Linked DNA regions of Arabidopsis thaliana. The protein of the gene in region 1 purifies or fractionates together with the protein of each later gene. This does not show direct contact. Each region holds a gene or a part of one and is shown on either strand. Other genes may lie near its edges.

What was found.
Region 2: the proteins of RPN8A (region 1) and RPN1A purify together in Arabidopsis thaliana (affinity purification with mass spectrometry; 2 studies listed by BioGRID, with this or other methods). This does not show direct contact.

Annotation. Positions count from the first base shown.
Region 1 is NC_003076.8:1,727,261-1,743,348, forward strand, and holds RPN8A (RP non-ATPase subunit 8A), read left to right. Parts: upstream 1-8,469; 5' UTR 8,470-8,601; coding exon 8,602-8,788; intron 8,789-9,186; coding exon 9,187-9,279; intron 9,280-9,362; coding exon 9,363-9,444; intron 9,445-9,628; coding exon 9,629-9,725; intron 9,726-9,818; coding exon 9,819-9,894; intron 9,895-10,025; coding exon 10,026-10,084; intron 10,085-10,252; coding exon 10,253-10,375; intron 10,376-10,539; coding exon 10,540-10,597; intron 10,598-10,683; coding exon 10,684-10,769; intron 10,770-10,850; coding exon 10,851-10,916; 3' UTR 10,917-11,480; downstream 11,481-16,088. Other genes in the region: AT5G05750 (DNAJ heat shock N-terminal domain-containing protein), read left to right, coding at 335-1,219; SYP31 (syntaxin of plants 31), read right to left, coding at 1,851-2,010, 2,096-2,293, 2,407-2,451, 2,530-2,675, 2,774-3,024, 3,433-3,643; WOX7 (WUSCHEL related homeobox 7), read left to right, coding at 7,227-7,595; AT5G05790 (Duplicated homeodomain-like superfamily protein), read right to left, coding at 13,464-13,881, 13,996-14,411; AT5G05800 (Myb/SANT-like DNA-binding domain protein), read right to left, coding at 15,974-16,088.
Region 2 is NC_003071.7:8,851,768-8,867,855, forward strand, and holds RPN1A (26S proteasome regulatory subunit S2 1A), read left to right. Parts: upstream 1-7,194; 5' UTR 7,195-7,443; coding exon 7,444-7,560; intron 7,561-7,880; coding exon 7,881-7,981; intron 7,982-8,120; coding exon 8,121-8,241; intron 8,242-8,319; coding exon 8,320-8,379; intron 8,380-8,478; coding exon 8,479-8,589; intron 8,590-8,792; coding exon 8,793-8,858; intron 8,859-8,940; coding exon 8,941-9,062; intron 9,063-9,205; coding exon 9,206-9,320; intron 9,321-9,474; coding exon 9,475-9,549; intron 9,550-9,978; coding exon 9,979-10,137; intron 10,138-10,233; coding exon 10,234-10,341; intron 10,342-10,412; coding exon 10,413-10,514; intron 10,515-10,607; coding exon 10,608-10,748; intron 10,749-10,836; coding exon 10,837-10,941; intron 10,942-11,023; coding exon 11,024-11,245; intron 11,246-11,337; coding exon 11,338-11,451; intron 11,452-11,530; coding exon 11,531-11,746; intron 11,747-11,846; coding exon 11,847-11,906; intron 11,907-11,995; coding exon 11,996-12,109; intron 12,110-12,201; and 9 more. Other genes in the region: GPRI1 (GBF's pro-rich region-interacting factor 1), read left to right, coding at 3,719-4,183, 4,251-4,298, 4,530-4,670, 4,749-5,093, 5,236-5,277, 5,376-5,489, 5,600-5,755; NFD6 (nuclear fusion defective 6), read left to right, coding at 13,455-13,615, 13,891-14,041; AT2G20590 (Reticulon family protein), read right to left, coding at 15,476-15,687, 15,771-15,893, 16,025-16,088. UniProt on the Arabidopsis thaliana protein: Acts as a regulatory subunit of the 26 proteasome which is involved in the ATP-dependent degradation of ubiquitinated proteins. Required during embryogenesis. Required for optimal plant growth and stress responses. Required for innate immunity.

The DNA.
Region 1 (16,088 bases):
AGCCCGATTATCCCCAGTTTTTTGCCGACACGACTGCCCCTTCTTGATAATAAAAACGGCATACATGTTCTTTTATTTAAACGACACTAGGTTCTCTACTTAATATACAAAACGCCACGCATGTTTGCACGCAATCCTTCTGAAAGTCGTTCATCTGTAGAAAGGCTTGAAAGCTGTGTGCGGATTGTGGAAGAGGAGGCGATATTTTTCAATCGTCGCTCGTTTGGGAAAGTCCTCACATCTTAGATGAACTCCAATCGCTTCGAGAAACTCTAATTCCTCGGGAGTTTCCGATAGCATCATCGGGAAATTGTTTTTCCGTTGAACAATCACAATGGATGGTAACAAAGATGACGCGTTGAAATGCCTAAAAATCGGCAAGGATGCTATAGAAGCAGGAGATAGATCTCGCGCTTTGAAATTTCTTGAGAAAGCTCGTCGTCTTGATCCAAATCTTCCGATCGATGGTCTTGTTTCGGATCTGAAGAAGCAATCGGATGAACCAGCGGCGGAGGAGGATTCGCCGGGATCTGCTGCCAACGAGTCATCTAAGCCGTCGGATCGACCTTCTCTTCGTCAACGTGGATCTTCGTCATCAGCCGCGGGATCGTCATCATCTTCGTCTTCCACGGAAGAACAACGAACGATCGTGAGGGAGATAAAATCGAAGAAGGATTACTATGAGATCCTTGGATTGAAAAGTAACTGTTCAGTGGAAGATTTGAGGAAATCTTATCGGAAACTCTCGTTGAAAGTTCATCCTGATAAGAACAAAGCTCCTGGTTCTGAAGAAGCTTTTAAATCCGTCTCTAAAGCTTTTCAATGCCTAAGCAACGAAGACACTAGAAGAAAGTACGACGGCAGTGGTTCCGATGAGCCTGCTTATCAACCACGCCGAGATGCGAGAAGAAACAACGGATTCAATGGATTCTACGACGATGAATTTGATGCTGATGAGATTTTCAGAAGCTTCTTTGGTGGTGGTGAAATGAATCCTGCTACTACTCAGTTCCGATCATTCAATTTTGGTGGAGGAACTAGAACAGCTAATCAAGCTTCTGATACAGGATTCAATCCTCGTGTACTTCTTCAAATACTTCCTGTTGTGTTCATACTACTACTCAACTTTTTGCCTTCTCCTCAACCAATTTACTCGCTTTCTCATCGTATAACTACGAGCTCAAATTCACCACGCATAGGGGCGTCACTTACTTTGTGAGATCAGCCAAGTTCGAGCAGGAATATCCGATAAGTAGCTTCGAGAGACAGAGGGTTGAAGAGCAAGTTGATAGAGATTACTTGTCTATACTTGGCCAGAATTGTCGCCATGAGCTTCAGAGACAACAATGGGGATATATCCGCGAAACGCCACGTTGCGACATGATGAAGAGGTTTGATGCAGCTGCTGCATAAACCATCCAGGTCAGAGAGAGACTGAAGCACCAAGTTAGTAAACTCAAATCCAAGAAACTTGGTTGGATTGTTCTGAGACATAGCTATGGTACTTACTAACTTCTGAGCATTTTTGTTGATGCTTCAGTAGTTTGATTTCTAAGTCCCAAACTCATATACGTTGATTACTGTCCTCCTTATGATGTTTAGTATGAAACATATTATGTGTGATTATATCTTAATTAGAATAATAATTACTTTGTTTGCTTTGAATTTTTACTTGAGTTAAATGCTATTACATCAGAAGTTTCCTGGTAAAATACAACTGAGTCTTGCAGAAAAATTAAACTTTTTGACACTCCACTATCCACACAAAAAAAAGGAGCCCTAGAAGCTTACAAGCTTAACATATGTATAGATTTGATACCCCCAGGAACAAGAGATAAAATGGTATTGTTTTAAGCCACAAAGAAGAGGAAAACAATCAGGAACAAGATGATAACAGCAAAGATCTTCATCATGAGCCATCTATTTGACGAAATTCGAGTGAGATGCTGCAGAAGAGCGCTACGTGCTCCCTCTACATTAACTAACGATTCATCCATATTGTCATCGATTCTGTTCCATAAAACTAACAGGTGTTAGATGATGTTCCCAGCAACTCGGAAAATGTCGGGTTGTGGGTAAGAAAACGTTAACGAACCTGATTGCTAGCTCTCCTTGTTGTGTGACCATTGTAGCTAGCTGCGGGAATATTCCACTGAGCTCTGTTATTCTTGATTCAACACTGTGAAGTGCAACCGCTCGACTTTGGCTATAGTTCTCCTGCTTTGGGACTGTTTGCTGCAACAAGGACATCTCCATTTGCTGTGAAGGAGCATTCTCGATCGCGGATCTGCGTCTGTTTTAGCATGACATAAACAAAACATCATGTTTTATACATCATTTTGACCTTCAAGCATAACGGTGAACAAACACAATCAAGAGTTGTAAGTAATGGGAATTAGGACATACCTGAGCTGGCTACCTGGCGGAGCTCCAGTATTTAATGGAGGTAATCTGATCGGTTACAGGAGACAAAACCTAATTAGATAAGAACAACTATTACATAGGAAGTAGTTCTTAAACAAAACTCACAGTGGTTGTTGTAAATTCCCGAAAGGATTTGATGAACTTGACCAAGGAGGAGGCTCAGGTACAGATTTTGCATTATTCTGAGGCGGACTATCTACTGCATTTTTTGTGGAAAAGAGTTGTTTCCGGTTTTCATGAGCCTTCATGTTCTGCAGGAAGACAAGACATATCTCAATAAAACACTGTCCATTGTAGGATAATAGGCAGATACAAATCAATAAAAGGTTGACAAATCTGCAAATCCAACCTCTGATCTCGTAGTTAGAACATCTTGAAGCTGCTTAGTAGCTCCCATAAGTCTGGTTTTCAAGTCATCACAAACAGCAGTGTAATGACCAACTTGGTCCTGTGAATAGTTCCCATCAGCAAGCTCCATGTTCTGAAGGGTTTGCAAATCCGAGAGAGCCATATTCAGCCCCGTGATATCGTTCCTGATCAACACAGTTAACTCCTGTATTTCCACAGTCCGGTCATTGAAAATCGTCGATTGTTTTGCCACTGTGATTCATCAAAAGTTTCAGGTAAACAAAAACTAAGGCTGCTCTCAATTGTAATCACAACAATGTCACTAGAATCGTTTAAAGATCATATGCAATACATCTAAACACAGACAAATAACTTCCGCAGCAAGCAACATGGAATTTTCTATTTTCTTCTAAGCACCATTTCTTGTTGCAAGCTAAATGCATAAAAGCAGGGTTTACGTTACACCTTTCCTACAAGACAGCTATAGGAATCTATGTATTAACCTCGTTAGAATCCAAAAAAAAAAAAAAAAAAAGCCTAATTTCATTATCCGGATCAAATACCCTAACATTTCTCATGTTTATTCAAATCCAGACGAAATTGATTCCAGCAGAAATTAAATATGAAGATGACGAGCATAGATCTGATACTGGATCGTACATTTAGCGAGCCTCGTGATCTTCTGTGACGTTTCTTTAATACCTAACCCGATCCGGGAAGCCTTCTTATTGAATTCGGATCCCGGAGACGACCGTTTGGATGATGCCGGATCATCTTCATCTTGATGAACGGACGGGATTGCCCCGATCTTCTTCAATGTTTGGGACAGTGAATGAAGCTCCACCGTCCGATCTCTGAACGTCGAGCCCATCGGAGGGTCGGAATTGAACTAAAGTCACCGGCAAATTGATGAATTTCCTCAGATGATGAGCTTTATTTCGAGAGTAACGAGAGATGTATCAATCGGAGAAAGAGACTGAGAAACATATAGGGAGCATATTCGATTTACGTCAAAATAACAAATTTTATGTTATTCAATTATAAATTTTTAAAAGTTTAATAAAATCTAATGTTATTGAACAAGTGATTCTAAAATCTACTTAAAAATCCCATGTTATTAAAAACATTTGAGACTTAAGTTAATTTGAATGGATTTACTTACTTCAAAATACAGAATTTTAAATCTCATAATTTTAGGTTATAACAACTTCTTGAATTTGAGAAGATTTTACAATAAATCATAATAAATTCTTAAATTCACTCAATTTTTTCAAAATCATATAAAAACTCAAAATAAATCAAATCACTCGAAATATAACATTGAATACATCTCCACAGTAGTAAGAAATTGATAGAAGTGCGTGTCATTATTATGTTATAACATCGAACGTCTTGTTGTTTTTATTCTTGTTGGACCGTGTCCCGTTTTAACATTTGGCAACCAAAAGGTGTGCGTTTAGGCATTAATTAATCTAACTTTGGGCCCAAAACCCAATATTATTTCCGTCTTTTTTAGTTTAGAAAAGTCTTTGTTTTTTTTGTTGCTGATTTCCTAATATCAAATTTGTTTCGTATATAAGATAAATGGAATGAGACCGAAGTTTTGGAATGAGTCACATGATCCGAGCCAGACCAACAAAGGAAGCATATGAGAAGCATGAGAAAAAAATCACTTAAGTATCTTAATTTTGTTCATGTTTGTTGTGAAGGGCTTACTAAGATATTAATAAAGAGAAAAGATAAAGTGTGAGATTAGAAAGTTGTATATAAGAAGTGAATGGAAATTAAAGGTTTGGGGTAATGTTGGATGGATCAGCGACAAACGTGGAAGCGAGGAGATCCAAAAAGGAAGCTTCCCAAGCTTCGCGAGGCGTAGGAGTCTACATTTTAAGCATGCCACAATTTCATGCCCTTGTTTCCCAATTTTGCGATTTTTTCATGTTTTTTTTCTTTTACGTACAAATAACATTTATTCAAAGTTCAGATGTTATGATTTATGCTTTATGCTTCCATACTTAAAGATTTTTAGTTATGATTTATGCTTCCATGCTTTTACTTTTTTTGCCATGGAACCATTTCTGTAAGTATATAATCATCGATTATAAACCTAAATTGTTTTCATTTTTATGAAATATTTACATTCTTAGCAAAAAAAAATAGTTCAGATGTTATTAAGTGAGTGTTTACTGTTTATCAACGAATTAATTAGTGTGATAAAAATTTGCAATATAAATGTATTGATTCTCTCAATTTACCAATCGTTTTATCTTGAATGCATTTAGAGATGGGAGTTCCTGTTTTTTTTTTTGCAATTGGAATCATAAAACGAGAACTTACGCAATCTGAACAAGGTCATTTAGGATAGACATTTTAAATTATACAAAATGACAGTAATTTGATTTTTGACAACGCATGATGTTAACTTAATTTTCTTATAAGATTTTTTTTTTTTTTTTTTTTTAAAAACTTTTGATGATCACATACACGACATTGACCTAGGAGTTAGAGCAAGAAAATTAAAAAACCCTTTGCCAAGAACTAGTAACCAAAACTTATGTCGCATGAAGCTTCATTTCTTATACGTTATATACAGTATAACATTAATAGAAAAACTAGAAATATTTCTTTAATGGTGCATGTAACATCATTGGGAATTGCATGTGAGTGGGATTTACAAATTTACAATGTGAGACCACCTTCCACTCAATATATATATGTTCCAAAGTGAAATTTTCGTTTTAATATAACATACTTGAATATAGAACCAAATAATATGTATCATGTGTGACGGGTTCAACGTTTTCAAATGTCCTAAAAGAAACAAAGAAACAAAGTTTTTGATTTATTATTTTAAAATCACAAAACCATATAAAGTTTAAAAATCTTGTTAAACTTCATAAAATCCGTCTTTAAAATTTTTAATATAAAAGTTTGATTCATATTATTGTTCTTTCTTAAACCAACATTTCGTTGATGAAAGATGGTCAAATGAATTTTTTGTTGTCAAGCTAGAGAACACCTAAATTTTTTCCAATTGATATTATGTATGTTAACACAAAAAGAGTTATCTAATACGATTAGTTAATTTATGGATGATTCCAAGTAGAAACGCCAACATAAACTTTGACTTTGAGGCCGAATTGATCTGCTTCTTTTATTTCTCTTACAAATTTGAAATTAAATTAGTCAAGTGTGATGATAAAATACATAACGTTTGTACGCATTAGTATGTTGTGTAGCGGAGAGACTCTTGTTTATAAAAACAATGTTTGGTTTATTCTAATTGTCATTTTATTCTTTGGATCTTTAGTTCTCGCTTAGCGTCTCGTGCATATTTTTCCTCAAAATCATCACCATTAAATGACTCACGTACACAATAATCACAACAACATACATATATATCACCATGCCAAAATACATCTGAAAAAAATAAATTCCTAGTCGCTACACTGTCATATTTTGATTGATATTTAGACTATTTAGTCATTCAGATAACATTGTTACGAGGAAGTATATATACATACGTAGCGTTGTACTACTGTAACTGGTTTTAAATTTATAGTATTAATTTTGTTGATGTTCCGATTGAAAAAGTCATTTTAGGAAAGAACGAAAAAATAGTTTGAAAGTGATTTTTTTTTAAAAAGATATAATCCTACACTGTCATGTTTTGATTGATATTTAGTCATTTTGTGTGTTAATTAACACTTTATTATAGACAGGGTTAGTTATTAATTTAAATCTAAATGTTCTTGTAAAGGCTTCCACTTAATTTTCTAATCACCATCTGCCGACCAAACTACTTTATCAAGTCACAGCTTTTGTGGAAAAATTTCCGTTAATTCATGAGCTTTTCTATTTGTTCACACTTCACACAATCATTAAATTAAATTTTGCGGCTAATGTTAGAATTATCGTACGACAACTGATCACACGCTACATGTTCTCTAGCTTAAATTTGCAACATATATAATTGAAACATCACTCAACCCCACAGGCTACAACATCCCACATTTAATCAAGAAATCAATCAGTTCACAATTACTGATGAAATTACGCAGCAAGTAACCCTAGCTAACTAGGATAAAAGAAAACGATCAATTCTCGGGAAAATTCAGTCTCTCCCGAATCCCAAAAACAAAAGCATGCATTTCGTAATAAACAACGCACTGATTCTGTTTGATTTTTTCTACCTTTATCCTACACAACACTAGTTAAACGACACAAAACTCAAAACACGAACACAGTTACTTAATCTATTCCCCTTATTCTTTCTTTTTGATTATAATAGCATATCGGAAAAAAATCTACAAACATTCAAAAAAACATCATCTACTCATCTATATATTCAAACCTTGGTCCATTCACATCACGAAGTCCATCGCCTATAATCATATAACATATCCAAAACCCTAAAACGCAAACACTAAGATAACTATTTCTTGAAATTAATAATGTCGTCGAGAGGATTCAACATTAAAGCTAGAGGATTATGTAATAACAACAACGGAGGAGGAGGAACGGGGGCGAAGTGTGGACGGTGGAATCCAACGGTGGAGCAAGTGAAGCTTCTGACAGATCTGTTCAAGGCGGGACTGCGAACACCGAGCACGGACCAGATTCAGAAGATCTCTATGGAGCTGAGTTTCTACGGTAAGATTGAGAGCAAGAACGTGTTCTATTGGTTCCAAAACCATAAAGCTAGAGAGAGACAAAAGTGCCGGAAAATCTCCACCGTCAAGTTTGATCATCGTCAAGATACAGATCTTTCTAAGCCTCGCCGAGACAACGTACGTCGTCATCAACTACCAGCGAAAGGTTAATCAAGATCTCTTTCTAGATTGTTTTATAATCACATTTTACAGTATATATTATCAGTTTATCACTAAGACGCTAATAATGTGTCTTGGTTTCTTATAAATATTTTTGAAGTTTGTAAAGTAGAAGAGAAAATGATAGAGACGTTGCAACTCTTCCCATTATCGAAAGTTGAGAGAGTGAGAGCAAACGTTACTGCTGCGAGCCACAACGAATACACACGAGAGCAAGCATATACGACGGCGTTTTCTACATTCTCAACATGTGGGGCTGAGATGGAACATTCGCCGTTGGATCTCCGATTAAGCTTTCTATGAACGGATTTGATATTAACGTACAACTCTAGTGGTGACGTTGCTAAGAAATAAAGACATGATGATCACATTTATTTAGATCTAGCTAGATTTTGACAAATTTCCCTTGTAACAATATCAACCTAATAATATCGTTGCTACATTTTTTTTCATTAGCTTCTTCTCTTCACTTATTGCCTGTTCTGTTCTGTGGCCTACCCGTGAAATGAGTACTTACGATTTAGGGTTATAACATTACCATAGTGGAAGGGATGATATTTCTTTTTGTATCACATTTATGATTTACACTTTTGAAAGTCTCCACAACTTAATTTGTCATTATTTTATTTTATTTTCTCCTCTACAATTCATATTTTCAGCACTCGTTTGAAAAATTACTTCAAAATATTTGATAAAATAAGAAATAAAATCCTATTTAATTATCCACCGTCTTAATAAATTTTCGAGAAATGTATATTGGAAAATTGCCCAATAAATGACGTGATCAGGCCCATCATATTGGGCTTAACAAAAGAAAAGCCCATTATAGGGAAATAAAATAAAACGACCATATTAGAAGCAATTTAGTGCAAAGTGGTTTTTCCTGGAGAAGAAGCAAACTCTCAAGCTCCGTCGGGAAAAAAAGGAAAACCAGATCGGAAAGTTCACGTTTTTCAAATCTTCTCCGGAGAAATCAGATTACTTGATTCTTCAAACAATGGATGTGATTAAGACGCAACAGATTTCAGCAAGGACGATCGAGAAAGTGGTTGTTCATCCACTAGTCTTGCTTAGTATCGTCGACCATTACAATCGCGTCGCTAAGGATTCAAGCAAGCGTGTCGTCGGTGTTCTTCTGGGGAGCAGCTCTCGTGGTGTTGTTGATGTCACCAACAGCTATGCAGGTATGCCTTATTTATCCTTTTTCCTCTAGTACTCTTGGATCCCAGATCTCAGATTCTGTTGAGGTCTCTAAACTGAAACTTGAATTGAGTGGTTATTCATACCTGGGTTCTAGGCAGATGTGTATAATAACACCATTTAGGTTTTTTTTGTGGCTGTTCTGTTCCGGAATTGACCTCTTCTAGAGTTGATGTTTACTTCAGTTAAATCACGTTCTCGCTAGGGTTTAAGATTCAATCGAGCCCCCGTCGAGAAAGAGATTGTTTTAGGTTGATTTAGTTGCATTTAAGTTTGCAGAGGTGCTTGCTTATCTATGGACACTGTCACTAGAAACCTCTTTAATAGATGGATGTTGTTTACATATGAATTCGTGTTAACATGTTGACATCTTGAATTGTAGTGCCCTTTGAGGAGGATGACAAAGACCCAAGCATCTGGTTTCTTGATCACAACTACCATGAGTCAATGTTCCACATGTTCAAGAGAATTAATGGTATTTTCTCAGGAAACTGATGCTTATACTGTTTATGACATTGTAGAAATCCATGCTTTTAACACTACCTACTTGCTTTTCAGCCAAGGAGCATGTTGTAGGTTGGTACAGCACAGGCCCTAAACTTCGAGAGAATGATTTGGATGTTCACGCGTTGTTCAATGGGTTAGTTTCCAGTTTAATCATTCAGATATCAATTGATTGGCCTTTATGGATTGAGGATCTTCTGGTTCTTAAATTGTGATAAAGATTTGTTTTAGGCTGAAATCTGTGTTTCTTTCCCACTTTACGTTTTTTGTGGCTTCGGTTTCATCTCCAATTAAGGTTCACTTTGCTTTTGGTTTTGCAGCTATGTTCCAAATCCAGTCCTGGTCATTATTGATGTCCAGCCTAAAGAACTTGGAATCCCTACCAAAGCATACTATGCAGTGGAGGAGGTTAAGGAGGTAAGATACAAACCCTTCCAAATATTGTCCCTTTTGTAAAGTTGTATGCTTATTATAATCAGATGCTGATTAAACACTTCTTTTTCTCTCCAGAATGCTACTCAGAAAAGCCAGAAAGTTTTCGTTCATGTGTCTACAGAAATTGCTGCTCATGAAGTTGAGGAAATCGGTATGTCCAAAAGGGAAAACAGTTCTTTTGATGATTTCATCATCTCGGTTGAGTTTTAAAGAAATGTGTTTTGTGATTGTTCTGAGGAAGATTTTCTGACACTTACCTGCGTCATTCTTGTTCTTGTACAGGCGTGGAGCATTTGCTCAGGGATGTGAAAGACACAACAATCAGTACCCTCGCGACTGAGGTTCTTGTCTTTACAATACATGAAATTTTCATTATCTTCCCATTAAATGTCTGTTGAAATCATGATGGGGGACTTGTAGGATTTGTATTGATGTTCTTGCAAGGTTACTTATGGACATAATAGTTTTCTGCTCGAGGACATAAATAACTTTATAGTATTTTGCACCAGGTCACTGCAAAACTTACTGCTTTGAAGGGGTTGGATGCACGTCTTCGGGAGATCCGGAGTTATCTTGACCTTGTAATCGAAGGAAAGCTCCCTCTAAACCATGAGATTTTATACCATCTACAGGTTAGAACTATATTTCCGTTTCGTGTTCTGAATTTTACAAATTATGGAGAAACTATTTGACAATGTCCAAACCTATGTGTTTTGCGCTCTTTAAAATATTCTAGTCACTGTCTCTGCTGTTGGTTGATTTCGTCTAATGAAATATATTCTCGTAAAATCGACAGGACGTTTTCAACTTGCTTCCTAACCTGAATGTGAACGAGTTGGTCAAGGCCTTCTCCGGTGAGTTTCTGCTATCATTTTGATATTATATTGGGCTGCTTTCTTAGATCTGCTTCATTAATCTTTACTGTATTTATAATGTGCAGTGAAAACAAATGACATGATGCTCGTTATCTATCTATCATCCCTCATTCGGAGTGTAATTGCGCTCCACAACTTGATCAACAACAAGGTTAGATCTTTACTTTACTCTCTCTCACGGCACACAATAATGTGATTCTGAACTAAATCTTGTGATGATGCTGTGTTTCAGTTACTGAACAAGGAACATGAAAAAGCAGAGGACTCAAAGCCTGTGGCCATACCTGCCACCAGCTAGATCAGGTTTTCTCGTGACTTACTGTAGTCATCATTGCCCGCGATGAAGGCAGCTATTGTGTGTTCTCTTCCCCAAAACAAAGGGTCAAGTCAGGGTGGGGGAACGAACGAGTTTAGTTTGATATCGACATTGTTGAATTCTCTCAGTTGTTCTGATTCAGAATGTATCAAAGAGTCTTTTTTCATTTTATCTTTCAAGTTCGTTAGGCTTAGGCCTCTTTTGAGGGGGTTTTGAATACAAAAGTTCACGTCAATGTGTCGAAATCTCCACAGAGATGGTCTTATCCTATTGAAATTAAGATTTTTTTTTTCACATTTCCCCCCCCCCCCCCCCCCCCCTTCTGTTATACTCTCACATCGTGACCGAGTATACAGCCCCGGTTGAATGTTGTTCGTTTTCCAAAGTCAACATGTTCTTCATGTTTGTCCTTAGTATGAAATTTCTGATTAGAGCCATTGACCACAACAAGGGTGTTACTTATGAATTTGTTTACTAGCAGAACTGAATAATTTGCATATTACCTAGATGTAAAAAGGAAGACTATACATTTTGATGAGCTTTTCTTTAAATTGAAAAGAAACAACAAGAAGAAAAAGTAAAGTGAAAAAGGATTATGGAGGAAAATAAAGTTAATAAATGGCGTAATGTTCGTGAAAAGGATATTTGATGCCAAAAGACAGAAACGAAAACAAGAACGTGCTTTGATACGCATTATGCTTCTTCTTTTTCTAAGTCTACTTCTTTTGAACACCTTCTTTTTCTATTGTGTATTATGTTAATCCTTGTTAAGGATACTCATTTTGCAAATCAATATATTACTGTCCTGTTTTACTTAGATATCTATAAGAAAAAAGTTTCAAAAATCGAAACCGTTATAATTTTGTGTAAACAAAATAAAAATCAAAATAACGTAGCTCACTACGAAAAGTAACAATGTAGTTGTATACTATACAGACGTGACGTAAGCATTCAAGAAGACGACTTTCATATTAGTATGTTAGTTAGTGGTTAGGTCGCATATCCCATTGAGGTGACCAAATCCATAGTGACGAAGTAACCAAAGTGATTAATTTATATAAAGAACGTTCTGAGTGTTACTAAATAGACATATATAGAAAGGTGTCAATACAAAAATTCTCAGTTTTATGATCCAAACATATTATAAGTTATACGGCTATTATTGATTGACCTTTCATTGGGTTCCATTCAAACGCCTCATCAAAAGTGGAGCCACGAAAAAAAAATAACAAATTGAATTGTGTGATGCCACTTTCGTTAAAAATATATATGGTTCATCATCTTCATCGATGAATGTCATAGGTGGTGTTAGAATTATATCGACTCCAACCGACCTACATTATTAAGTAGTATCTTAGGGTTTTATTCCCGCATGCAAAAAATAAATAAGGTTCGGATGCTCTTAAAGTGACTATATATAGTATATACTATTCACTATTACTGATCAAATCAAATTAATATATGGAGATAGAGTAATCATATTACGTAGTTAGTAGTTACTTACTGTTCGTGATTAAAAAGTGAGCTTTTCTTTTATATTCTCAAATTTTTTAATTAGAAAACTAAAAGCTTTCAAATTTATAACAAAGCGATTCAATATAACTTCTCTTTATTTGCACAAAAATAAGTATCTTTAACGATTCGTTCATCCAATGAAATTTCCTAAATCACTTTTGTTTATGTTTTTTAATAAATTCCAACTTGACTTCTTTCACAAAAAGAAGGGAAAAAACAAAGCATTATATATTCCTTCTGATATGAAAGAAAACATATATCACATTTTCTAGCTCTTTATTAAATTAACTAAAAGAAATACGGAAAAAAAAAAACATTCTTAAAATAATTTTAAAACAGGAGCTTGTATATATGTTCCACTTGTACTAAACTGCTATTTTTGTTTGTAAAGAGTAATAATATATCCAAGGACACCCTTAATTTATTTATAAACTTAACAAAATTGAGGGAGCAAAGGGTTGGTGTAATAGGTGAAAAGAATGTGATTCTGTGTGCCGAAAGTGGAATGCAGACTCAGCTTCTAATTATATACCGTTTACAAGTTAGTGGTCAGCTTTGCCACCCATACACACACATACAAATATATCCAACCCTCACTTTTTAATTCCTTTTTCTTACATAAAATTCTATACATTCTTTTTGCTAAAGACAATTTCTTACCTTAGAAAACAGTATTTGTGTATAGTTCTGTGATGAATCATTTTAAGAAAATATAAAACGTAAATGAGTAATGTTATACTAATTTATCTACTATCATCGATCAAATGTTCAGGTTTAGAGACAATTTTCCAAGAAAATGACTGACCGTTAAAGTTGCAAGTAAAGCCATAAACCCGGTACTTGGTCCTTTTCACCATTATTGATAGTTTTGGCAAAGAGACATATATACTAGCTAATATATGTTTATTCCATAAATACAAGACATACATATTCACATTCCTCTAATAATGTAACATAACTTTTTAAATAAAACATAATTATGGTTTCGTTGCAATAGTTAAAATTTCAAAATTCTCATTTTCTCGTTTCAAGATCTTGTGAGATACAGTAACCTCCTTCACCGTAAACATTTGCTCCGGAAAACTTAATGGCAGGATCGTAGGAAGAGAAGACCGAGGATAGATTCTGACCAAGAAACATAACTCCCTCCTCTGCATTATCCCTGTCGGTGAACCCTAGTTTCGGCTCGGCCTGTTTTGAGACTAAGCAACCGTGATCAGACGATGGACGGCTAAGATTGGCATTGAGAAGATTGACGGTGGTGATGTCGTGAATGCTAGGCCGTCGTTTGTCTTTCGCACCGGAAAGCTGTCTTTGGTAGTACTTTTGGGCATGACTTGCAACCTGAGTTGGTGTTTTTGATCCCACAAAGTTCCTCGATATGTTTCTCCAATCTCCTTTCCCATACTTGAGAAGCCCTAACAAGAATCTCCTGCAGAAAACAATTAAACAAGGTCTCAGCAAACCAAGAAAACAAAGTAACTTGCAACTCAAGACACCAAAGAAGAGTGAAACAAGGATCACAAAGATTGAAAACTTTGTTCACCTGTGTTCTTCCTCCGTCCATGGAACTCCTTTCCTACGGTCTTGATCAAATCCTCTGGCTCCATTAGGAAGTTTACGATACGCATCAAAGTCACGTGGACTCACAACCTGATCAAATCCACAAGGAGTAACTGAACGGTAACCCGGGATCGGGACAAGTCCTGCTTCGATATCGAAGAGGTCTTCTTCAAGCTTAGAGTATTGCCTCATGACATCTGATATGGTCTTTCCAGGGATCATAGCAGCAACTTTGAACCAGCGATCAGGCGTGTCATCAGCGTAGACAGCAAGAGCTCGCTCAAACTTCTTGTTCTCTTCTTTAGTCCAGCTCGAGCTTTGCAAGCACATCATCTCTTGAACTACAAACCGGTGGTCAGAAGTTGGCACGTGCGAGAGTAGTGGATGCAGAGTCTCCATCGTTTAAAGGCTACGAGATAAAAGTTCTACCTATAAAATAAAGTACTTAATATTTTTCCTCTAATTCTTGGAAGCTTGATTTGTGGGTTTAGTAAAAGACTGAAGCTTCTTATAGGATCTAAAGATATATAGGAATCAAACTGGGAAAACTAACGAATAGTTTAATGATGGAATCAAAGAACCTGATTTAGTGAGAGATTATAGCGTATATTAATTGAAGAATCTGGAAAGAAACACAAAAGACTAAGACTTTGAAGAATCCTTGAGAATCTGCAAAAGTGGGTCGTCAAAGTAATACAAAACAGGCAAAACTCAGATGGTAGAGAGAGATAATCAGTAAGATAGATAGGGAGAGATTGTGAAGCAAAGGGAGAGAAGAAGAAGGTATTTGTGGTTTGTGTTATAAAGAGAAAGAGAGAGTGTAAAAGTTTTAGCCAATGGAACCACTCCACTCCCCTACTTGGCTTCATTTTATTCCAAAGAGGATTCTTCACAATGACACGAATTCTAAAAATAACAATAAACTTCAATTATAAAATTCTAACTAGCTACTAGCTAGGCCAACATTTCATATCTTTCCAAAATTTTAATAACCACTAGTATACACCGTTTTTTTTTGTTAGGTAGTTTTTCTCTAATATTATTCAAAATAAAAGCGACAACACATAAAGTTGTTCATACTTAATGATAGTTTACGTGTTATACGTCGGCTATGTCTAAGGCTTAACTAATCATAAAACACACATAAAATAAGGAGAAAAACTTCAAATTTACTAAAAAAAACCAAAAACAATGCGATTGCTTTACTTAACAAAAACAATGCGATTGCTACAAATTGTTTATAGATGTAACTTAATTAATGTTATTCGAGATAACACGTAAGCTTAAACTTAACGACACTTTATTCTTTATGTCTTTTTTTGTATTTCGTACCACTTGAAAATGATACTTCTACGAAATTTCATAAGCCGCCACAAAAACAAGATTGAAAAAGAAAGAATAAATATAATAAATGCAGAAGCGCCTGTAGCTCAGTGGATAGAGCGTCTGTTTCCTAAGCAGAAGGTCGTAGGTTCGACCCCTACCTGGCGCGTTAATTTTAGTTTCTTACTTTTTAGAAAATTACTCCTTAACCTTAAAGGGGTAATTAATTATTGGGATGCGACTAAACCTTTTTTTGCCCACTTTGGGTACTGTTTTTTGTCGTCACTCGCTTTATCTACTTTTTAATTCAAAAAAGATTCTAATCATCAACTCTCACTCAAAAGCCCCTTTCACACACTCCATTGTTGTCGGTGTCCCAAACCTTGTTCTGCTCTCTCGTAATATGCATAGAACTAAATGCTAAATATCTTCTCCTAATGAATGAAAGTGAGAACAATTCTAACACAAACCACTTAAGAATTAGGCAATTCAAAGGTTCATCAACATGATTCTCTACCTGTCTGTTTTTATATAATCCATATTCATAGAACTAACAAAGAACGATTCTTTTGGGTATAACATCAGACAGAGACAGAGGTCAGAGTACAAAAAGGATGGCTTGTAAAATACACTTGAACCTATGTTGTAGTAGGAATAGGAAATGAAGTAGATTGAAGTCTCTGCAACCATGCGATTCTCAAACTGGGCTTCTTCAGCTCTAAGAAGATCTCTCTATACTCTCTCTTCAGAAAC
Region 2 (16,088 bases), on another chromosome or scaffold:
AAATTCTGATCTCCTTTGGTTTTCGGTTTCGTTCGGTTCATGGGGTTCGATTTGGATGAACCGAACGGTTAACCAAATCAGAAAGAGGAAGATTTTCGTTTTACATAAAACCGGTTAACGACGTTGGAACCGTTTCACTTTGAGGCCATAGTTATTCACGAGATCTAAAATGTTTATTTTGGGCAGATCATAGTCTATCTCTCTAGTCTCTTCATCATCAAACATTTGGTCTTTTACTATTTCTGGCCCAAAATTTTAGAAGCTTCATTATTCTTGGGTTATTTTAAGTTATGAGGCTTACTATTTCTGACCCAAGTTTTTTTCTTTACAAGTGCCCCATTGAGTCGATGAAAACGGCAAGCACTTGATTGTTGGAGTATCATCAATTATCCCACGAGAAACTCGGACATTATTTATTACCGTTAAGAAAATCAAATGAAGAGATGTTTTTCAGTAATAGAAAGGAACAGCAAATGAATTCAAACTGTAGCTTTCAGTTCATGGTCCCAACTAGTAGTTGAAAACAAAGACAAAAGTTTGCTCACCACAAGCTCATCCACAACAAAATAGATTTTTCATTTTAACCAAAATAATAACGAAAATAAACTCCACCAGTTGAATCAAAATATTGGTTTAATTGTTTGTGATAACAGTGACAATTTTTTTCATGAAATTTTACAAAGCAAGAATTATTGAAGTTTACTCACGCGGTTGCGTTTGTGGTCTCTTGCCAGTTGCCACCGCAACAAAGCATTGGTCTTCTTCGTTTTTTTCTTTACGTTTTTGTAATTGTGTTTGTGCTTTAACTTTATGTTATAACATAAACATGCAAACGTAAACACACACACACACACAAAAACGGTTATGGTGAAGCTCCAACACCAGCTCCAAAGTTAATGACTGCGTAATGGAATGTTTTGTTAGAACTAATTGGAAATCGATTGCTTTTCGTGTCTTTGTAATTGAAATCTATTACCATTATTTTTGTAACAAATAAAAGTTTTGGCCTTTTAATTTGGGGATACTGAATTTTATAGCCTATTTTCACAAGAATTTGATTTGTTGTTTCTATTGGCGATTTTCGAAATTAGTAGACCGTTTTCCCTAGCTATTTCCAAGTTAACAGGAGAATCGTTCCAAGTACATATATACATATGATATGCTATTTACAGCGAAAAAGATGATGAGTGTTGGAATCATAATTAATGACCAGTAGTCCTTTTACGAAAGTTGCACTTCATTTTTAATTACAAACACACATGATATCATTTCCATTCTAGTCGCTATCAAGTCACATGTGGGTGTGGTGGCCCTTCACGTCCACTGATTGTCAAACCTCTAATATCAGTTTCAAAATTAATGTACATATATAGCTTTTCATCTCCATCTCTATATAGAGATTCAATACTCAATTCAATATAACATTTGTATATTACTCGAGCTCATAGATTTATTTTATTGACCTATATATTAAACTTATTGGCTAGCTAGCTTTTTCTGTTATTTTTGAAATTTAAACTTAGCTAGTTTTTAATATTCCAATAGTAGAAGAAAACTATGAAAACTCACTGTAACTCCATGCTGGGAGAAGGGATCCAACATCTCACCAACCAGAGTGTCGGGCCGTAGACTGAACTAGCTGACTGTGAGATCTTAGATCATTCCAAAATCAACAACTCCAATAATTATTTATTTTCGGTTTCTAAATGAAACAATCTTTATCCTTTTCTTTATCTTAAACCAAATCAGTTATATAGAAGATTAAGTCATTATTAAAAAGTATCATCAGATCATCTCATAAATGGTAGCAACAAAACCACTCAAATATTCAACTATAAATTACTCCATCATTTATAGAAAGGAGCCTACGCATATATCTAGCAAATATTTGGAACTCTAGTACTTGACTTTGAGAAAACCCTCATTCAATATATATAGAGTTGTGTTAGCCTATAAGGGCCTGAAAGTATGTGGAATTTCTTACAATTTTCTTCCTTCACGATGTATATATATATATGCCGTACGAATATTGTGAACGTGAATTCGATTCAAAAAATGTGATGTGGAAACGAGCAACAACAATTATTGTAGCTCTTGAGGACCCATAGGACGTGCATGTCCACTTATACCTAATGAGACAATTCTGTCCTTTTTTATAAGAGCATCTTCCACAGCTTAATTTGCGAGCCTCATTCACGTCAATATATAAGGGGTATGTGATACGGTAGATGGATTGATTATTTACATCCATCTACATGTAAGTTGACCAGCATAGACCTTTTACATAGTGACATAGAACCGTTGAAATGCCATCCGATTGATCAATAATGTTGGGACAGACCAAAACCAAGATACCAAAACGGTAAAGGGACAAATGCGACAATCAGATATTGAACTTTAAAGTTGTGGCTCTGATCCAGTTTGGCAACAACTTCACTTAAATTTTTGTGTTACCAACAAAACAGGGAAAAAGATTCGCTAAAAGAGTTGCCTAAATATATGTTTGAGCTTGTTGTCGATATTTTATGTTTATCTAAACAGTAAAAAAAAAAAAATTTATGTTTTATTTACCACATTTAGAACTAGGCATATATATATATATATATCTTATTATATAAAGTATGGTTTTTAAAGTTGCTAACTCATAAGATTGTGTCACGTGTCAAGTCAAACGATCAGATGTTTACATGTATCATTCAAAATTTAACTTTTTTATTCTCTAAAATTAAATAGAAAATCTTAAAAAGTAAACAAATTTACATATACTAATTTATATGTCTATATATTTATAAACAATTAACATTTATTCAACAAAAGGAAAATTAACAAATTTGTCTTTAACTCATGTAATCATAAGTGAAAATAGAACATTTTGAGAAAAATAGCTTATCTTATAGGATTTAACTTTTCAATTATTTTCATTTATTAATTTTAACTCATTTAATATTAATTTGCATGATGTAAAATTAACTTACGAGATTACGGCATATATAGAAAATATATTTTCAACAATGTTTGGTTTCTAAATATTTTGTGGATTTCTTTTTTTTATTAATTATTAGCCCTAGGCGTTTGGGTATTCGGGTCGGGTATTTTGGGTTCGGGTTTTCGGGTTTAGAAGTTTAGGACCCGTTCGGGTAATTTAAGATTTCGGGTCGGGTTCGGTTTGGGTGGGTTTGAGTTTATTTATATATTGAAATATCAAATTTTGTGTGCAAATCTATTAAATTACTTGAAAATTTCAAAAATTCCCAAAACAACACGAGTAGTTTTGCTTGAATATATCTAAAAATACACAAAATAATTAAAATATCCAAAAAATCCTAATATTTTCTATATATAAGTATAAATATAACTAATATATATTTATATTTGAAATATGTTTGGATACGTATTCGGGTTCAGGTTCGAGTTTTTTGGGTTTTGAAGTTTAGATCTGTTCGAGTATTTGAAAATTTCGGGTACACCCGCCTCAATAGGCGGGCCTTATCTAGTATATATATATATATATATTTTTGTGATGGATTTCTTTCTGTCTCTCTCTATATATAGCATATAAATGAAAATGAATTATATTTGCCTTTAAGGGAGAAGAAAGAGACTTACTTTGGATATCAAAACATGTCTTGCTCTCTATTCTAATTAAGTCTAGCCTATCTACAACATACATAAACCTCTATCTACGATTATATTTGGATCTACAAGTGAAGATTGATCGATGTTAGCTCTGTCTCCGGCGACAAGAGATGGTTGCGACGGAGCGTCAGAGTTTCTTGATACGTCGTGTGGATTCACGATTATAAACCCGGAGGAGGAGGAGGAGTTTCCGGATTTCGCTGACCACGGTGATCTTCTTGACATCATTGACTTCGACGATATATTCGGTGTGGCCGGAGATGTGCTTCCTGACTTGGAGATCGACCCTGAGATCTTATCCGGGGATTTCTCCAATCACATGAACGCTTCTTCAACGATTACTACGACGTCGGATAAGACTGATAGTCAAGGGGAGACTACTAAGGGTAGTTCGGGGAAAGGTGAAGAAGTCGTAAGCAAAAGAGACGATGTTGCGGCGGAGACGGTGACTTATGACGGTGACAGTGACCGGAAAAGGAAGTATTCCTCTTCAGCTTCTTCCAAGAACAATCGGATCAGTAACAACGAAGGGAAGAGAAAGGTGAAGGTAATGATTTTAATCATATCATCTATATATAAAACATTAGTCTTATATGAATAAAAACCCTAGCTAGACTCGATTAAATGAACAGGTCTATAATGGATTCGTATTTTTTTTAAAAGTGGATTATTCGTTTAGAATTCATTTTCTTGCTAAATCTTCTAAATTTTTCATATTTCAGTCATGTTTACAAGACTCGTGTAAAGACATCACGTGCATCTCTATAAGACTTTTTTTCTTTCAAATTATGTAAAATAGTCAGCTGCTAATTGTGAATTTTATATAGTATGTGAAAAAGTATTGAAAAAATAATGAAGATGGTGGTTATATATATGTTGGGATGTGTGTGAAGGTGGATTGGACACCAGAGCTACACAGGAGATTCGTGGAGGCAGTGGAACAGTTAGGAGTGGACAAAGCTGTTCCTTCTCGAATTCTGGAGCTTATGGGAGTCCATTGTCTCACTCGTCACAACGTTGCTAGTCACCTCCAAGTTAGTATATTTCTTTTCAATTTCATTCTCTAATATTAACCATCCAAATTAACATGTTGCTGTTATTTGGTATACTAGAAATATAGGTCTCATCGGAAACATTTGCTAGCTCGTGAGGCCGAAGCGGCTAATTGGACACGCAAAAGGCATATCTATGGAGTAGACACCGGTGCTAATCTTAATGGTCGGACTAAAAATGGATGGCTTGCACCGGCACCCACTCTCGGGTTTCCACCACCACCACCCGTGGCTGTTGCACCGCCACCTGTCCACCACCATCATTTTAGGCCCCTGCATGTGTGGGGACATCCCACGGTTGATCAGTCCATTATGCCGCATGTGTGGCCCAAACACTTACCTCCGCCTTCTACCGCCATGCCTAATCCGCCGTTTTGGGTCTCCGATTCTCCCTATTGGCATCCAGTAAGTTCCCACATTTATGAAACCTTTACTTTAGCTCTTTATCATATTTGTTTTCATCATAGTATTTAACATTATGAAAGCTGAATGACACCGAGTATTTTTATCATATGCTTGTCTTTCTAACCAGCATTTTTGCATGTAGATGCATAACGGGACGACTCCGTATTTACCGACCGTAGCTACGGTAATGAACCAACATTTATAAGATTGTTTCCGTATGTATACCCCTTTTTGTTTCTATATATATGTTTTAAATCGTATTTTTGATTGGTAATTGTATAGAGATTTAGAGCACCGCCAGTTGCCGGAATCCCGCATGCTCTGCCGCCGCATCACACGATGTACAAACCAAATCTTGGATTTGGTGGTGCTCGTCCTCCGGTAGACTTACATCCGGTAAGAATCTAATATAATGAATTGATTGTTGTCGAGTTTTGACTTTTCGCATTTGATTATGTAATTATGTATTTTTGACTTTTTGTGTATATATATTATAAATGGAACAGTCAAAAGAGAGCGTGGATGCAGCCATAGGAGATGTATTGACGAGGCCATGGCTGCCACTTCCGTTGGGATTAAATCCGCCGGCTGTTGACGGTGTTATGACAGAGCTTCACCGTCACGGTGTCTCTGAGGTTCCTCCGACCGCGTCTTGTGCCTGAAACGCACAAGATCCGTAGGCAAGCGAGAACCAAACAAAAATTCGACGACATGTCTTTCAATTATTGTACTTTTATTTTTCCAAGGGTTGTTTTTGTTTTGACCCTTGTTGTGTTAAGAGTTACTCTTTACTTAATCGTCCCATGTGACTAATAAGGAGACCCTTTTCATATGTATCTAGGGTGCTAAGTACACTCTAGCTCTATTAACGCAAATAAATTACCTATATTTTCTCTAACCATTGGTGATTTAGAACTTGATTGCTTATATAAAGTTTTTTTATAAAACATAACACAACAAATTTCCATATCAAATGATCATATGGAAATTGGAAGCGTTCAAAGCAAAGTCGCAAACGACGACCAATTGATTATAAAGAGGACAACCTCACGAGTATATATACACTTATAATTTATAAACATAACTTATACTTAAAAATACCAGCCGGTTATATATGGTGAAAAATGAGTAATGAAATTGTGTGTTTACCATGCATATATTACCGTATAAAAACGTATTGTTGGGATTGAGAGAACAATGGCATAAAATAATAATGAGGAGAGAGGGAGAGGACCACGAGATAAGAGGAGAAGGAAGTGCATGGAGGCAACGTAAAATCCAACGTAACGACCTCTTCTTTCTCCAATTGTGACCACTCTCTCTCTCTCTCTCTCGTCTCCTTCAAATTTGAATGGTCCCTCTCTCTTCATAATTGATAATTCATATACATGCGGATACTATTACTAGCATCTCATTTTCCACTCACACTTGTACACATATGCTTTTTATAAGTACGTATTTATAGGCAAAAGTAAATATATTCAAACCCTACATGCATGGTATTAAAATCCAATATAACCAAAATGAATACTCGGTTCAAATTCAAAAATTTAAAGGACTTTGGTCGAAGATAATGAAGACAAATCATTTTTTTTTGTTCTAACCGGACATTCCAAATCGAAATGCACACTAGTTTTTGGTGCCTACATCTACATTGGCTAACTTTTACTAAAATCATAGTGAAAATAACAAAAAACCATGGTCTCTATAAACTCTTTGGTGAAGATTTCAACTACTAAATTACCATGAGATAGATGGTCAAAAATTGTCAATATTGAATTTACAAGGATCATGAGATATTTCAACAATTTTACTAATGACCAGATCCAATGCAGTGAATTAGACGAAACTATGACTTCACTAGGTTGTGAAAGAAAAGCTTGTCTTGCAGTTTTGTCTGCGACCGGTCGAAAAGAGAATGAAAATATGTCGAAATCCTCTTCAAACGTGAAATAAATTAACTGTCATAAGGATAAATTATGTTTGTTCAACCATACAGAAATATGATGAATAAATAATTTTAGACATGTGGGCCCATGTAAGAAGAACTCACTAAATGAGCCCAATACGGTTAATGGGCTGTGACATTGAAAAAGAGGTTGTAATGGGCTGATTGATTCTATAGTGTAGAAATCTTGATCGAGGGGTTATCTTCTCCGATTCCAATATTTAGATTCTTCTTCATATATTATTGTGCTTTGATTAGAGAGTTGCAGAAGAGTTTTTTTTGTTTTAATTCCTGCAATCAGAGAGTTTTCGATAGCACAAGCACAAGCTTCTCGATTCGTTTGAGTGTTCAAATTTCAAGCTTTTTACAAGGGGTTCCTTAGATTGATCTGTTACTGTAGAGATGGCTCCAACTCAGGATCCCAACAGTGTCGGAGGCGGTGCGAAGAAAGATGAAGCTACCTTGAAGGTTCCGTCTAAGGATCCCAAGAAGAAGGACGAGAAAAAGGATGAGGATTTGGTAAAGTTTCTTCTTTCTCGGTTTTTTGATTTATCGAATCCTTTTTCGACATTGTGTGTCGTGTTTAGTATCTGGGTTCATCAGAAACGAATTAATTTCAAATCTGTAAGATCTGCAGTTAGGTTTTTAATTGGAGTCTCGATCGAGTTGAAGTAGGGGTGTTATAGAATTAGGGTTTTTAATCTGGCAAAGTGAGTGTTTTGTTCGTCATTAGACTAGCCGGATTAGAAAGTTGTTAACTTGTGATGTGAGGAAAGTTTTTTTTGTTTGTATATGGTCACTTTCTTAATGACTCGACTTACATTGGGTTGTGATTGTAGTCTGAAGAGGACTTGGAACTAAAGCAGAACCTTGAGCTCTATGTTGAGAGGGTTCAGGATCCTAATCCGGAATTGCAGAAGGCTGCCCTTGAGAGCATGAGGTAATTCTTGACTTGATCAGCTTCGGGTTTTCAGATTATTGCCACTGAAGCTTGTACAACTTATAAAGCTTTTTTTCTTTCTCTCTGCTCTTGGTGTACATGTTTATGTTTTTAATTAGAGTTTTATTTGGCTTTGTAGGCAGGAAATCCGAGCTTCAACAAGTTCCATGACTTCAGTTCCCAAACCACTAAAGTTTCTGCGTCCCCATTATGGAACTCTTAAAGCGTTTCATGAAACAATGGCTGATTCTGATCTCAAAGTATGTCATCATTGATTTCAAGTCATTAACAATTCTTATATTGGTATGGCTTAAAAATTACATTTGCTATGTTTGCAGAAGTACCTGTCCGATATCCTGTCTGTCCTGGCCCTTACCATGTCTGCAGATGGTGAAAGGGTATGCTTCTACTGACTTGGGCATACTTTGTATTCTGATTTGTATTTTTTAAGGCATACTTTGAACTGCTAATCACTTTCTTTTACAATATAATTCCAGGAAAGCTTAAGGTTTAGATTGATTGGAACAGAGGGTGACATTGGATCGTGGGGTCATGAATATGTCAGGAATTTAGCTGGAGAGATTGCACAAGAGTATACAAAGCGTCAGGTTAGAAATCAATTTTCGATTTTGTCTTTGGAAATTCAGTTTCTCGTCCTAGGACTTGTGCAGATATTCTAAGATTGTTGGAAGTTGTGTTTGGGTTTATCCTTCTGAATTCTGATGGTTGGAGTTTTGAGGAATGACTAAATGTGTCTTATTCAATGAGAAAGGTCACTGAGTCATATTTATCTACCTGTTCATTATCTCAGAGTGAGGAGGCCTCTATTGACGATTTAATGGAGCTTGTGCAACAAATTGTTGCTTTTCACATGAAGGTGAATTCCTAAACTAATAGGGCTTGAGATTAGCACCTCTGCGATTTATTTATTTCTAAACGATTTCATTTACTCCTTGCAGCATAATGCAGAAACCGAAGCTGTTGATCTTTTAATGGATGTTGAGGATCTTGATCTCTTACTTGAGCATGTAGACAAAACAAATTTCAAGAGGACATGCAACTATCTCACAAGTGCAGCTAGGTACTTTAAACATAGTCAATCCTATTTATTTTATTTTTCCTCACTCTTTGTTATTTGAACTGATCTTGTAGAAACAAGTGGTGAGCTTTGTTTATATTTGCTTCCAAAAATCTCTCTGACGTCTTATATATTTGAATTTTCAGGTACCTTCCTGGACCAGATGACATGTTGGTTCTAGATATTTCCTACATGATTTACATGAAGTTTGAAGAGTATCCAAACGCTCTGCAGATTGCACTATTTCTTGATAACACGCAGGTAGGACTTTAATCTTTCTATAGAACGTAGTTTCATTTCATTCTTTCTGCGTGTGAAGCATTTGGAAAAATCAATCCTCTATGTTTTATTTCGAGTATTTGCGTAGACATTTTTGATATTTAATGTGCTGTATGGTGTATTTTCTGTATTGCAGTATGTTAAACAAGTATTTACCTCATGTACGGATCTGCTGAAGAAGAAACAGTTCTGCTACATGATTGCTCGTCATGTAAGTCCTAACTATCTCTACTTTACTACAATTCTATCTCATTCTTTCTTTTCGGTATGTATGTTTTGATTTGGATCTTTACTCCTATATGCTTTGATAGTTGGTTGTGCTTTTATTCGATTGTATTTTACTTTCCAGCTGTTACATAAAGTTAGCAGAAAAAAAATGAGAACATAGTTTGTAGTTGTAATTCAGCATGATCTAGAGGGAATTTAAATATGTTTCTTGAACATTATTTTTAGTCCAATTTTGTATTGTTTTTCTGGGAAGACCTCATTCTTTAGCGACACTGGCCTCCTCCTATTCTCTTCTAAGGCACACACAGATTAACTGCTGCATCGCTGTTTAAAATTTCCATTCATTTAGAGACACAATACCCGATTGACATACTTTCTTATACTTCTCCTCTCGTCGTATGCCTCCCTGCAGGGTATAACCTTTGAACTTGACGATGAGATGGTTGCAGATGATGATGACCGGGAAGCCCTACAGGATATTGTTAACAACACTAAGTTAAGTGAAGGATATCTGACCCTTGCAAGGGATATTGAGGTCATGGAGGCCAAAACGCCTGAAGACATCTACAAGGTAAATCAGTTTTAATGTGTTAGGCTTGCTACTCATTTATTTAGTTACAAATTATGTTTCCCTCAGTCTTTGACCTGCCCTTTTTGAATTTTATAGGCTCACTTACTCGACGGCAGGGCTAGCTCCGGTGCAAGCGTGGATTCTGCTAGACAGAATTTGGCTGCTACCTTTGTCAATGCATTCGTAAATGCTGGTTTTGGTCAGGTATGGTTGCAGATTATAATAAAATAGATCTAGTGGAAGACGTGTCCTCTTAATATATTTGCTTATCGCAGGACAAACTAATGACAGTACCTTCAGACTCAACCACCGGATCTTCTGGAAACTGGCTCTTCAAAAATAAAGAACATGGCAAGACTAGTGCAGCTGCTAGTCTGGTATACTTTTTCTTATTTGATGAATTTATTTACTGTGCTCAGATCATGGAAGTAAGAATTGTAACCAGATCTTTTTGTTTCCCTATCATATAGGGTATGATTCAACTGTGGGATGTGGACTCTGGACTTTCCCAACTCGACAAATATTTCCATAGTAATGATAATCCTATCATTGCTGGAGCACTGCTGGGAGTTGGGATTGTAAATTGTGGCATTAAGAACGATTGTGATCCTGTGAGTTGCTGTCGTGTTTGATTTTGCTGGGACCATTTGTGCTAATATTTGCAGCCACTCTTCCATCTTACTCAGCCTTATTTCTCAGGCATTGGCACTTCTTGGAGACTATATAGACAAAGAGGATTCATCTGTCAGAATCGGTGCTATCATGGGTCTTGGAATTTCATACGCAGGTTCCCAAAATGACCAGGTACTTGTTATATTCTTTCCCATATTACTACTTGAATGTTTCGGGTGTTCACAAAACTTTAACACGTACACTGTTTCAACAGATTCGAAACAAATTGTCCCCGATACTGAATGATGCAAAAGCGCCTCTTGATGTGATTGCATTTGCTTCACTTTCTTTGGGAATGATATATGTTGGTTCCTGTAACGAAGAAGTAGCCCAGTCTATTATATTTGCTTTGATGGATCGAAGTGAGGCAGAACTGGGTGATGCCCTCACTCGTTTCTTGCCACTTGGTCTTGGACTTCTATACCTGGGCAAACAGGTTAGCAATGTGTTTTACATAATCTCGCTCTTTGTTCGTATATCATTATTTGCATTGCTTGACCAACATCAACTTGTTCCAATATCTACCAGGAAAGTGTAGAGGCTACAGCTGAAGTTTCGAAGACCTTCAATGAGAAGATTAGAAAGTATTGTGATATGACACTTCTTTCTTGTGCTTATGCTGGAACTGGAAATGTCCTAAAGGTATCTAATCAATTGTGCTGGTGGTTGAGTGACATAATTCATTACTTGTTTAGTTGTTGACTCCTACTTATATTTTCAGGTACAAGACCTTCTTGCTCAGTGTGGCGAGCATCTTGAGAAAGGTGACATCCACCAGGGTCCAGCTGTGCTTGGGTTAGCAATGGTTGCTATGTCTGAAGAACTGGGAGTTGATATGGAGATCCGTTCTCTGGAGCGGATGCTACAATACGGAGAACAAAACATTCGGCGTGCTGTGCCTTTGGCCCTTGGTCTCCTTTGTATATCCAATCCAAAGGTAAATACTTTTGTAAATGTAGTTTTACTGCACCTGCTTACAATTATTAGTGGGCGTCTAGAGTAATACTGGGTTTTTAATATTTTTCCCACAATTCCAGGTGACTGTAATGGACACCTTGAGCCGGCTTAGCCATGACACAGATTCGGAAGTTGCCATGGTTAGCAATCATTTCGCTTCATAGCCTGTCCCATATTATTTAGCTGAATAGTATTGAGAGAGGACTGATCTTTCTTTTGACTCGTACAGTCAGCAATTATATCATTGGGACTGATTGGCGCTGGAACTAATAACGCAAGGATAGCCGGGATGCTTCGGAACCTCTCCAGCTATTATTACAAAGACATGAGTCTTCTCTTCTGTGTAATGTGTTCCTCATTTTGGTTTCTGTACCCTGCGGTAAGCTGTTGTTCTTGTTGGAATTATTGTAACTAACTTGGTAAGTCATTATGCAGGTGCGTATTGCTCAAGGGCTTGTGCACATGGGAAAGGGTCTCTTGACACTCAGCCCCTTCCACTCTGAACGGTTCTTGCTATCGCCGTAAGTTCATTCTTTTTGTCACCAATAGAACCAAATCTTTTTTGATAGTTGGATGTTCAAAGGTTTCTCATGCGGACCTTATTTATGCAGAACCGCACTTGCTGGTATAGTGACACTTTTGCATGCATGCCTTGACATGAAACCAATCATACTCGGGAAGTACCATTATGTGCTGTACTTCCTCGTTTTGGCGATGCAAGTGAGTTCAACTTCTGTCCTGTGTTTCTCCCTCTTGTTAGTTAGGTCTGATGAACTTGCTATGATTTGATATTTAATCAAATTTTGTTAAAAAAATGTATAGCCAAGGATGATGTTGACAGTGGATGAAAACCTGAAGCCACTGTCAGTGCCAGTGCGGGTAGGACAAGCAGTTGATGTGGTTGGGCAAGCGGGTCGGCCCAAGACCATAACCGGTTTCCAGACACACTCCACACCTGTTCTCCTGGCTGCTGGAGAGAGAGCCGAACTAGCCACGGACAAGTATGTTATTCTTTTTCCTTTCTTCCTTGTACCCTTTATGTTGCCTACTTAGGTGTCTGATTATAAAACTCGGATTTGTAACTGGCAAACAGATACATTCCTCTGTCGCCAATACTAGAAGGATTCATCATCTTAAAGGAGAACCCAGACTACAGAGAGGAGTGAAGAGAGAGAGCTTCTGCTTCCAGCCAGTTGTCACTAGTTTTACTATTTCGTCTATTATCTCATGGTTTTTCTACTCTCCGTTTAAGCTTTGTTTCATTATCTTGGGATCTTTGTATGACCTGACGCTTTTAGTTATATAAACTTTAGTCTCTTTTTTTTTTTTTTTTTTTTAATCGCCACCAAGTCGACACATATTCTTGCCAAAACCAATATTGACTCAGTTTAAAAAATAACGATCCATAAAATTTTCCAATTACTTTGATCACATAAAAAAAGTGAAGAAATGTTAGCCACTTGCATAGTGCCGTTCAAAGACGCACAAATGAAATTGGGCTTTCCTTTGGCCCAAAAGTGTTGCGATCGCGTTTATAACAAAAGACTAAGGTTTCGTCCAAACTAAGATCGCGTTTATAGGGTTTATCATCATTTCCCGTAATCGTAATCGGAGTTCAGGCTTCAGCATTCTCTCTTCTTCTCTCTCGCAGCCGTAGTTTTTGATCTTCTCTTCAATTCTCTCTCCTGATGGCCACGTCCGCCGTCCTCTCCGGTGCCAGATCGATGCTTCGAGCTGCTTCCTCACGCAGCGCCGCTGCTTCTACTGGCCGCTTCGCCTCTCAAGCGAAATCCGCTCCACCATTGTTTAGAGCCACTGCCAGAAGAAGCCCACTGCTTTCTCCTCTCCGGTTAGTCTCTCTCATACCCATTTCCTTATTTGAGCTCATTTCACAGTTTTGTGCTACTTGAAGCTTGAAATGGGTTAAATTCGATCGAATTGTGAAAAAAAAGAAGGAACTTCTCTATGTAAAAATTACATTTTTGCGTTAATCATGTTTCCAGATCGATTATTCACAAGTAAAAAAGATGAAATTTTGCATTTTGATGTTGATTTTAAATGTGAAACTCTCTTATCACATTACTTAAAAGAATTTGCATTTTTGTTTGTTTTTGATGTGAATAGAAATCCTGTGGAACTGAGCTTCTGTGTGGAGTCATTGTTACCATATCACTCGGCTACAGCTTCAGCGCTAATGACTTCAAAGCTTTCTATCTCTGGCCAAACCTATGGCTGGCTCTCTGACGGTACTTTCTCACATCCTTCAATTTTGTAATGCTTGAATAATGGCTTAAATATGTACTAAATATTGAGTGGAGATATGCTTTGTTTGATTGATGAAATGTGTTTGAGAGCTGTTTCTGTATTGGCTTTCTAGATTGTTGTATTAGACATAGGTAGAGAACTAGTTTAGATTTTGCCATTTAAGAAGCTTTCTCGATCAGTGTAGATTCTTTTTGGTTGTTGCTATGGCGAAAAACTGGATCAGTTGTTGTTGTCTTTCTGCTTAACGTTGTAAAGAGATAGCGGCTCAATTGGTCTAGTTTTTCGATCTTGTAGGCTGACACAAGTGTAGATGGAGACAACGAAGCCAAGATCTGGGTTTTCATGCAAATAATATAAACGATTAGAACGGGTTTCAGGCAATAAGATAGGCTTTAGATACACATCAAGCAATGGTTGATGCTGCATTGTGTTTTAAAAGAACTGGTTCTTACATATCTTCTTAAAAAAAATACATGTACCCGGAAACGTGTCTTCTTTTCTTGTTGGTTATAGCATTTGAGTTATTACTGATTGGTCTTATACTCCCAGCTTGCAATGATGATGTGTGATGAGTTAGCCAGAGGAACAATGAAGCTACAGTTTATGTACAAAACCTCTACCTTTTAAAGCCTTCTTCTTTAGAAAAACTTAGGAACGAAAACCCTCTTAATTTTGTTTCTGAGTTTCTTGGAGAGCTTTTCTTTGTTTTCAGCCTATTAAGTAAGACATGTTGTATTGGTTGGACGAGTAACTGATGTTTGGTATAATTTATCAGCTTGCAAAGAGGACTTTTGATGATGTCTACGCGTACCCAATGCGAGATTGTTGATTGCGAGAGAAGGTTTAAGAGTATTTAGGCAAAGAATAATTGTTGTACTGTTCAAACACAAATCATCTCTTTGTCTTTAGTTTTCATATCAAAGACAAATGTCCAATATCTTTTGAATCAAATCTCTATGATTTCTATTACATCAACATACAAACTCAACAAAATTGCATCACTTCTACTAATTTAAAACTTGGAAACATCCATGAGTTTGAATACTATAAATTATAATCAAGATTCTACCAAATATATATATATATATATATATATATATATATATATATATATATATATATATATATATATATATATATATAATCAAGAATCTCATCAAAATAAGTAGGGAAAAAGTAGCAGATTTGGCAATCAAATTGGCACATTAACTTGTCGACCCTTAAACTTGAAAGAAGGTTTCAAGTTTCTTCTTCTTGTCCCTTGGATCTTATGAAACATTGTATTCTCTGCCAAAGATTCACGACTTGAATGGGCAGCTTTGTTAAAGGATCTCTTTGTCATTAATTTTTCATATTAAAAAAACAGATCCTTTCGAGATATAGAATTACATCTCTGTTGAATGTGGATTGATACAAAGTACAAACACTACAGTTTCTTTGATCCTTAAGTTTCTGCAACCACCACCACTAAAGCTCGCTCTTCTGATGGCTGTGTCTGTTCTTCTTCTTGTGGAACTGTTTCTTCTTCTTGTGGAACTGTTTCTTCTTCCTGCGGGAGTGTTTCTTCTTCTTGCTCATTCTCAACAGGCTCAACTTCCTCGGGAGTTAGCTGTAGATTTTGTCTCCTATACCGAAATATCACCAGGATGATAAAAACTGCAGAACATGAAAGACGTATACGTTATATTTTGATACAAGGCAAACCAAATACTCTGTCAACCATTGGTTAGGTAAATTACCTGCAAATATTCGGGTTCTTATGCTCGTCAAGTTCCAAAACGCTGTCACCGCAGAGCCAGCCAAGATCTTCTTGTGTGAGCAGACTCCCCATGCTTCACCTATTCTCGTTTTCACTCTTTCAACTGCACAAATGAAACTCAAACCAGTTCAAGAATTTAAACCATTGGACCAGTTAAAGACATCTACAAACACTTGACTATTGATTCTAACACAATTGACAATATGTGAATGGGTGCAATTCATTATTCTTCACCTTTTTGGCTAATCTGATGCGTGTAACATGAATACAGCTTTGGGATGGTGAAACTGAGGAAGAA